2 linked regions of the Caenorhabditis elegans genome follow. The protein of the gene in region 1 interacts with the protein of each later gene in a pairwise test. Each region holds a gene or a part of one and is shown on either strand. Other genes may lie near its edges.

Region 1 (4,266 bases):
TACCTCATTTCCATTGGTTCCCTATTGATTTTTGAAACTTTTGATATTTTACTTGTTTTTTTTCAGTAACTCTTTTATGATTTTTCAGAAAACAATGGCTTACAAAGATATGATGGAAATGCCTGGAGTGCTGAAACCAGCACTCCTGCTTCTCACACTTCTTCAAATTATCTTTATGGCTTCACCAGGAGTCCGTGGATGGTTTTGGTTCATTTGCCTCACATCGATTCTGGAATTTCTCGCGGCTATCGCAGTTGTTGCAGTTGTTTTCTTAGATTTAACTTTTACAAGATCGGGACAGTTTGTGATTATTGTGAGTGAGAATTTTAAATCAATAGCGAATGCAGTAACTTCTTGGTAAAATTTTCACTCGTTTTTGGCAGAAATTTTACAACTTATTTGAGAGGTGTTTAATGAGTTGTCGCCGATTGTTTATATTGATAGTCGGGAAATTAAAGAATAAGCTGATTAAATCGATTTGTACTACTATTTGATTTGACTTCAGAATGTGCTCAAAATGTTGCTAAATGTTGCAAAATGTTGCTAAAAGCTGAACTCTCGCTCTCCATAGGCAATATCTATTCACATCAGCTAAGAATATGTATAGGTTCGAATATATTTAGGCTATTAGTAATGTCTCTTAAAATATTTGCAACTATTTTAACATGATAATCAGGACGAGTTCATTCCTGCCTGTCTGATTTCTTGTCTACCGTAATTTTTCTATAATACTGATTCTACTATCAAATGTTTCATTGATGTGAAAAATGTTATAAAAATGCAGGCAAAAAGTTTTAAAATAATTTATTTCAGGAACTCGCATACAGTGGAGCATTCTGTGTATGCAGTGCTCTCAACACTATTTACTATTTTTGCAATATCTTCTATCATTTCAATTTTTGGTTCCTTTTGGCAACTGTTTGTTTTTTAAGATACTAAAACTTAAGAATCAGTATTATTATATTTTCAGATTGTATCGGTACTTCTTGTACTAGCATATGGTCTTCAAGCACTCATGGCTTGGACTTCAATGTCTGCTTCAAGAACTTCTTCTTCACACACTTCAAACCAAGCAACTGCTGGACCACCACCAACAGTCTATCCAGCCGGAGCCAACCCTGCATAAGCTTTGAACAAAAACGAATTTTAACGGTTTATAGCTCTTATTTATTTTTTAACGAGACATCACAAAAACCCCTTCTTTCTCACTCTTTTCTCTTGCTCTCCTACATTTGACATGTTGACATTTTTGAACAAAATAAAGTGTTTCCTTTAACTAGTTAAAATATTTTTGGAAGCTGAGGATAACGGCGAGGCTTAAACAAGAGTGCATCTAGCCCGCATCTGTCCTCGCCCTCATTGCAAAAGCTTCATTTCCCGATTTGCAAGTATGGTAATGTGTAATGACATTTGTTGAGACGCAGTTGAAGTTGAAAATGGCTAAATGAAAAAATAATTGGCGTTTCTTTTCAAAATTAATTTTCAAAAAATGACATCCGTGGCCTTCCATTTTTCAAATACCACGTCACAACAAAACAACCGAATAACCAGAAAACTACAAAATAAATTTATTTCACAAAATTTACAAGACGTAGAAGCGAAATCAAAACAATGTCGCTATCGGAGCTGTCAGTTCTGTCTGCTGAAACTGCAATCAGTTTTCACGAAATGGATTTGGAAATTTTGAAGGAGAGTCAGAAGGCGTTGAGGGAAGAAGCTGGAGGAAAAGAAGAGGTGGAGGAAACAGTGGAGAATCCGAATCCAATTGTGTTCATTGCCGTTGATGATCAGAATCTACCAAATGGAGAGGAAGAGGACTCATTCATCTTCGAAAAACTTCAGTTTCGAGTCAAGCAAGTTATGGAAAACGGTACTCGTCGTGTATATCTTTCTGTGCAAGCAACAACTCCTGCTGAATGGCAACTTCTTGTTCAACTCAGAATCAAAACTGGATGTCAGTCGAATATTTTGAATGTTGTTGATAAGGATGTTTATAAATTTGATTCATTTTCATATCCTCTGAACGTGGAAATTCAGAATAGTGACGTCAAATTTTTGAAATTTGAAATGAGAGTGTTGAATTTGGTGAGTTTTTTTTTTTGAGATTATAATCTATTGATCTGTAAATTATAAACTATTTCAGATGTACCTGGATCTCCCAACTTTTGAGGAAGGTGATGAAGTGATTGAATTCGACGATGGATCTCGTATTCGTGTTCATTCAAACATCCTCTCCCTATTGTCGGATTATTTGGGAAAATCGGAAAAAGAGTACGCATCTCGTACGGATTGCCCAGCTATCAAAGCAACTTGCTCTGAAAAGGAAGCATTCCTCGAACTTCTTTACCAAGCATATCCTACTCGCCGTCCAATTTTCGCATCATTCCGTCGTTTGACAGCTGGAGCCGTTGGTTACAAGTGTGACAATTTGATTTATCAGTTGTCGAAACATCTCATTGACTACAATTACAGACCGGTTTGAAGTTCTTTTATTTGAAATTTTCTAATGAACTATTTTCAGATGACATTCTTGCAACGCTTTCAAGCAGCGATTGAGAATAGATTGGAGCCTGCTATCAGTGAACTTGCATTCCGTGCAGCTTTGGACGGAACATGGAACCAGATGATTCAATCAGGATTTGAACCTGAGAACTTCTGTGGTCGTCAAGTTTACACGAAAATTGTGTGCCCCGCTATCTTGCTGGCAAGAAATGCAAAGCCCGATGCGACAACTTTGAAGAAGCCCGAGAACAATTTGAAATTTATTGAATTGGAGGTAATCCAATGTTGAACAAAGTTTAATATAAAGTAGTTTATTTAGGAGGGTGACACTACCAAGTCTGCAATTCTATTCCGTGGAACCATCTTCTACATCAACAGTGGGATACTTGCCGCTCATGGAAAGGAAATGCTTTGTATTGGTCAAAATGGAGAATACATTGCTCGTTACACTGCAGAATTTCATCGCGAATGTGCTCGTGGAGACTTGATCCCTGGCGAAGTTCTTGTTCAACTTCTCACCTACATGCATCCAATGGGAGAAGTTCCTCATCCGGATATGATTCGTGCTTGCATTGTTTTTGCTTTCGATCATGGATGGAATATTGTCAAGGAAAACTTGGAAAATGAATTTGAGCCACCAATTACACCAGATGAGTACATGTCGCAATTGATGTTTGGAGACAAGTTTGATCTCAAAAACTTGCTCCGTGTCAATATTCAAAGAGCCGAGTCAAGGTTTGTTTCGAGAAAGTTCCAATTAATCACTATGTTTCATATTTCAGTTGTCGTGAACTTGCCGAGGTTTTGGAGAGACATGGAAAACTGAAAATCTTGAAGGATCGTACTCATGAAGGAATCATGGACAGAATGTGCAGTGGATGGGGACTGAATCCAATGGTCAATCGGCTTTCTACTAGGTTTATTAGTTTAAGTTTTCATTCATTCAACAACTTACTTCTACAGATTTCCTACAACTTTCCACCACCGTACTGTCAATTTGCAACGTGGTAAAGCAGTGGTTGTTGGAGAAGGTCGAGCTGTTGACACGTTGAACTCTCTGGCATCGGATCACGCATTTGGAGAACCAACGGAGCTTATTGTCGTCGACTAGTATTTTTCGTAACTTCCTGTATGATTTTTAATGTTTTTTATTTTCTCTATTTGCTCCGGACTTGTGATTTGTAATGCTATGCTTCTCCAACCATTCTCTATAAAGCATTTCTTCGATCATACACCTCCCTTTGTGCACTTTTTGCAGAGAATTACAGAATTAAGCTCCGAACACATGTGTCGTTCGGGTCGATAATCCGAAAATACGCAAAAGCGCCTGAGTTGTGCTCTTTTCTGCTGCTTGCTGCTGCTCGGAAGACAGTCTCAGTAGCCCGGAGGGACTCTCCCGTAGCGGCTCCCGTTGAGGGACATTGCGGCGTGTTGAGCAAATGCAAACAATGACCGGATGGTATGTGCGTGCGTCTCCGCCGATCAGCATGCTTCTCGCCAACTCTGGAATCGTCGTATTTTGCCACTTTTCTGCTATTCCACCTCTCTTTCTCTCTAGCTGCCTGATCCTTTCACAGTCATGCCAAAGTCTTTCGTCACTGGTTTCTTTTTTGTTTCTTCGTTCGCTTAATTTTCGGAGCCTAATCTTTTCAACTTTTTAGAAAGTTTTCCAGTTTTCTCTTGATTCGTGTGCACTCATTTTCCTCCCAAAAAATTTCAAAACTGATTGTTCAATCCCGTGATTTCAATTTTCTGCCAGTTCGG
Region 2 (4,508 bases), on another chromosome or scaffold:
ACTTTTCTTGAAATCTTATTTCTTACTTGAAACAGTAATTTCAATTCTCGAAACGTAAAAAATTATATGATTTTTCCGTTTTTCCTTCATTTAAAATGATTTTACACCAAAAACAGTTTCATAAAGTTGTTTAATGTGTTCTAGAAATATCAATTATTTTATAAATTTCAAATCACTTTTTTGAGAAAAGAAATCTGAATTTTGTCAGAGATGTTTCAACTGGTTTTCAAAAGAAAAACTTGAGTAACTATTTTTAGTAGATAGATCCTTCGACCTTTCCAGTCGTTTTAACAGTGAAAAAAAAACCCGATAATCAACACATTATTCCACATTACTTGTGGGGTTTCTCAAGAACGCCTAACGCTAACGAAATATGAGCGCCCGACATCTACCGAGTTTCACTCACCTATATGAGATATAAATCAGTGCAGTAAAAGCTAATTTTCAAATATTTCCAATACACGAACAATAATGAAACTAGTCAGTTTTATAATATTAATTTCTGAAAATTTAAGCAGTTTCACAAATTTTTTTTCTTCGAAATTTCGACAAACTTAAAAGCATTATTGAATGATCAAATTTATCTAGTAATTTTAAGTCTACTTGAAACTGTAATTTCAATTCTCGAAATGCAAAACAAATTATAGGATTTCCGCGTTTTTCTTTCATTAAAAATCATTTATAGGGAATTATCTTTGAAAAAATAAACGTTAACAAATGTTCCCGAAACAACAGATTATCAGTCCAATAATATGTCAAGTTGTTCTTGGAGCTATGATTTGCAGTTGAAAAAGTGAAATTATTTTTATTTTCCCCAGCATTTTAAAAAAGTTACATCAATATTAAATACAAACTTGAAACAGTATTTTCAATTAATTAATTTTTTATTTTAATTTTTCTTTTATGCTTAGTTGTTTAAACAGTAGATGTTTTCTCTAACAGTTAACAGTTTTTTTTTAATATTTGCCATCTCTTTGTTGTGGGGCAAACGCTCGAAAAATTCAAAATTCTAATCAAAACCAATCAATAAACACTAAAAACGCTCCAAACCCCCCTCTCGTAAACCAACGTCCGTTGTCCTGAAACGTTCCTTTTCTCTGCGTCTCTCGTCATTTCTCTTACCACCACCTGCGTCTCTCACACTAATTCGGTCTCTCAACTCGCGGCGGGAGGCATTGCGCGCAAACAATGCTTCCCGTGCGGTGACGTTTTCGATTTTATCGGTTTTTATTTTGTGTTGTTTCTTGTTTCTCGTGAATTTTATATTGTTATTCACTAATTTTGAAAATTCGCGGTTTTTTAATTCAAATCTTTTTTTTAATTTAAAAAAAACGAGTGCTAGTCAGAAAGTCCCATTTTGCTTTGACCTTCAAAAAATGTGGGAGCAGCGACGCAGACATATCATCTGATTTTGCATGGTTTAGAGCGTGCTTACGTCACAATTTTTATGAATAAATATTCCCGCATTTTTCGTAGATCAAACCGAATGTGTGTACCTGACACCACGTCGATTATCACTATTGATTTTTTGAATTTTATTTGAACGCTCAAAATCTAAAAAAAATTCAATTTTCAGATGTCCCGCCGAGCTTCAAAAAGACCTGCTCCGTATCCACTCCTATGCGAACAAAAACCGGAAGATCTTCTAGTTGCTCCAGTCGAACATAAGGTTTACCAGGATTTTGAGCCTAAAAGACCCCGAGAATTTTCCCCCGTGATGGCTCAATCCCTTCCACCAGGAGAAATTGACTTCCAACCGAGCAAAATCATCTTCAATGCTCCGTACAATGAAAACCAAGAATCTAAAATCAAATTAATCAATACTTCGGCTCTTCGTATTGCTTATGGAATCAATACATATATGAAAAGACTCAGAGTTGATACGATGTGCACTCCAAATTGTGGAGTACTCGATCCAAGTGAGGAGATTCTTCTAACAATTTCCTGCGATGCTTTTGCATTCGGACAAGTAGATACCACAAATGACCGTATCACTGTCGAATGGACCAATACGTCTGAAGGATCCACCAAGCAGTTCTGTCGTGATTGGTTGGATGGAGATGGGATGGTTCGTCGTAAGACCCTTCCGATAGAGTACAGCTCATCTCCAATTGCTCAAACATCTTCGGCACCCCTTCTTCAGGCCTCTAAGCATGGGATGTGGTTGCCGATTGGATTCGCTGCTTCCGAATTGTACGATTATGCGAAAGGGGAACCATTGGATCGGAAGACTTGTGAGGTAGGTTTTGAGGGGATTATTTCTAGAGCAACTCGTATAGTGTCGGGCGCTGAAGTTCAGACGATTGAAATCTGATAGCAGCCAACATTGCACGGGCCTAGTTAGAATAACGAGTTTGCATGGCGAGACTTGTGAAATGTCGGTTTGCTTGTAGAAACAAAATCTCACCGCGAACTCCTCTAAAACTGCTTTTGCTAGCAGCCGACATTAAAACGAACGAACGGAAGCAGAAGTCGGTGCTTTACAGTATTGTTAAAGAAACTCGCAAAGTGTCGGGAGCTGAAATCCAAGTGCTTGAAATTTGATAGCAGCCGACACCACAATGGCCCAGTTAGAACAATATTGAATGTTGAGACTCGTGAAATGTCGGCTTGTTTATAGGAACAAAATATTACCCGTGGACTCTTTTAAAACTGCTGTTGCTAGCAGCCGACATTTTACGGGCCCACCACGGAATTTGCAGTCTAACTCGTAAGATGTCAGTTGCTTACAGTACATCATTGTAGTCAAGACCTTAGCCCTGCCAAATAAATCTTCAAATTTTTCAGAAAAACCTGGAGAAACTCATCAAAAATGACCGTGATGTTGACTACTACGAATGGCTCAATTTCGCCAAGCGGTGTCGAACACAAAATCAGAATTTGATGGAGGAAATGGCACTTGGAATGGCTTTCACTACGGCGATGGTGAGCAATTTCCAAAAGTTTCGAAAATTAAAAAAAATTCGCTTTCAGGCAAACAAGCAGCACAGGAAGATTTCTCGAAAAGCGGAGAAAATCACGGAACCGATCACAACGAACAAGGCATTCTCAATTGACTCAGCCGAGAAGTTTGACAGAGCTTTGACGTTGCCCAGCAGGAAATGGTTCATGATTTCCGATGTTGTGACGGATGGAGATGTGTCGAATTGGTCGACGGCTAACTTGGTGACTCTTGTGAGAGCTCTGGCGAGAACGGTTTTCGATAAGGTATGCTTAGTGGAGTCTTGCGTAGACTTTATAGAATCTTGCGTAAACTCCAAAAATTTAAGGTTGCCATTGCGGACCCCCATATGATGTGCTACGCAACTTCACAAAACGCTTCTACATATATTCCCATCGCTAGGGACTTTTTCGAAGGGTTTGCTGGTTAGTTTTCCACACGTTTCACCAAAAATTTATAAATTCTTTGAAACAGTAGGAAATTTAATATTAAAAAAACCATGTTCCTCTTCCAGAGTACATACTCGGTGGGTTCGGCGAAGAACAATCGCGAGACCTGAAGTTTCGAGTGAGGAAGCTGGTCACCGACGTTATGGGCAATAAGTTGTGAGTTTTACTGTCTCAGGGCTCAGTACTAAATTTATTTTTCAGAGACCGTGTGAGAGGCCGCCACAACAAAATGTATGGAAACGAAGCAAGTGAAGATGCCACAAGATGGCTCCGAGAGCAACTCCGCAAGGAGGATGGAGAGCTCAAAGAGTTTGTGATTTCATTGAGTTTTATAAAAATCGATAATTTTTTTCAGATCCCGACTAATTTTCCCAAATGGCTCAGAAATGATGTGTAACTATCAGGTAAACGAAGAAAACCCAGAAGGAAGTATAAAATCAGAAATTTTCAATGACGAAGAGGAAGTGGAAATGGAATAATTTGTTTTTGAAATTGTTATATTTTGTTGACTTTTCTATTAACTTATGTATTTCAATTCTGAAAAAAAAACATTTCAGCTGTCTATATAAAAGTTTTTCCAGCGCTCCTCTCATAGTTCTCAAGGTTTCAATAATTTGAAAATTTCAAATTTTTACTGTTTCAATGTGTTGTGAAACATGAGCTAAAATTAAAATGAAATGTTAGTCCCATAGTAAAAAGTTTTTGTTGTGAAATTGCAGTCCCGTGCAATTTTTGGCTCTGTTCGAGATTTTCTACTATATTTCCAGCCACAATTTGTAGAGTCGCATATTACTTAAATATAAATTAAAAAGAATCAATAATAACTGTTTAAAAAATAGTTTTGGGTCAACAGTGAAAATTTTACTGCGCAGAAAACTGTTGCTCACTTCAAATTTGAGCACAAAATCTATAAAAATTGTTTCATGGTGTTCATTTATTGGAACTGTTAGCATCAACATGAATTAAATTTATTGATCTCAGAGATCATCGGCTCAGATGATGTTCAACTCCAACTTTAAAAAGATTTCAGTGCCCTTAAGTACTTTAGCATTTTTTATAGCTCTTTTCACTTTTATAGTTGGAAAAAAAGTTTGAACATATAGTAAATGCGCCATTTT

Evidence for each region. The genes of interacting proteins can lie anywhere in the genome.
Region 2: the proteins of C18E9.8 (region 1) and Y105C5B.19 interact in a two-hybrid assay, tested with the Caenorhabditis elegans proteins (one large-scale study listed by BioGRID).

Annotation. Positions count from the first base shown.
Region 1 is NC_003280.10:8,985,367-8,989,632, reverse strand, and holds C18E9.8 (DUF7754 domain-containing protein), read left to right. Parts: upstream 1-1,570; 5' UTR 1,571-1,611; coding exon 1,612-2,085; intron 2,086-2,143; coding exon 2,144-2,476; intron 2,477-2,521; coding exon 2,522-2,776; intron 2,777-2,821; coding exon 2,822-3,237; intron 3,238-3,284; coding exon 3,285-3,419; intron 3,420-3,465; coding exon 3,466-3,613; 3' UTR 3,614-3,733; downstream 3,734-4,266. Other genes in the region: C18E9.9 (MARVEL domain-containing protein), read left to right, coding at 95-313, 814-918, 971-1,126.
Region 2 is NC_003282.8:15,981,039-15,985,546, reverse strand, and holds Y105C5B.19 (Major sperm protein), read left to right. Parts: upstream 1-1,576; coding exon 1,577-2,239; intron 2,240-2,787; coding exon 2,788-2,925; intron 2,926-2,973; coding exon 2,974-3,207; intron 3,208-3,269; coding exon 3,270-3,366; exon of another isoform or gene 3,367-3,370; intron 3,371-3,455; coding exon 3,456-3,546; intron 3,547-3,591; coding exon 3,592-3,699; intron 3,700-3,745; coding exon 3,746-3,869; 3' UTR 3,870-3,972; downstream 3,973-4,508.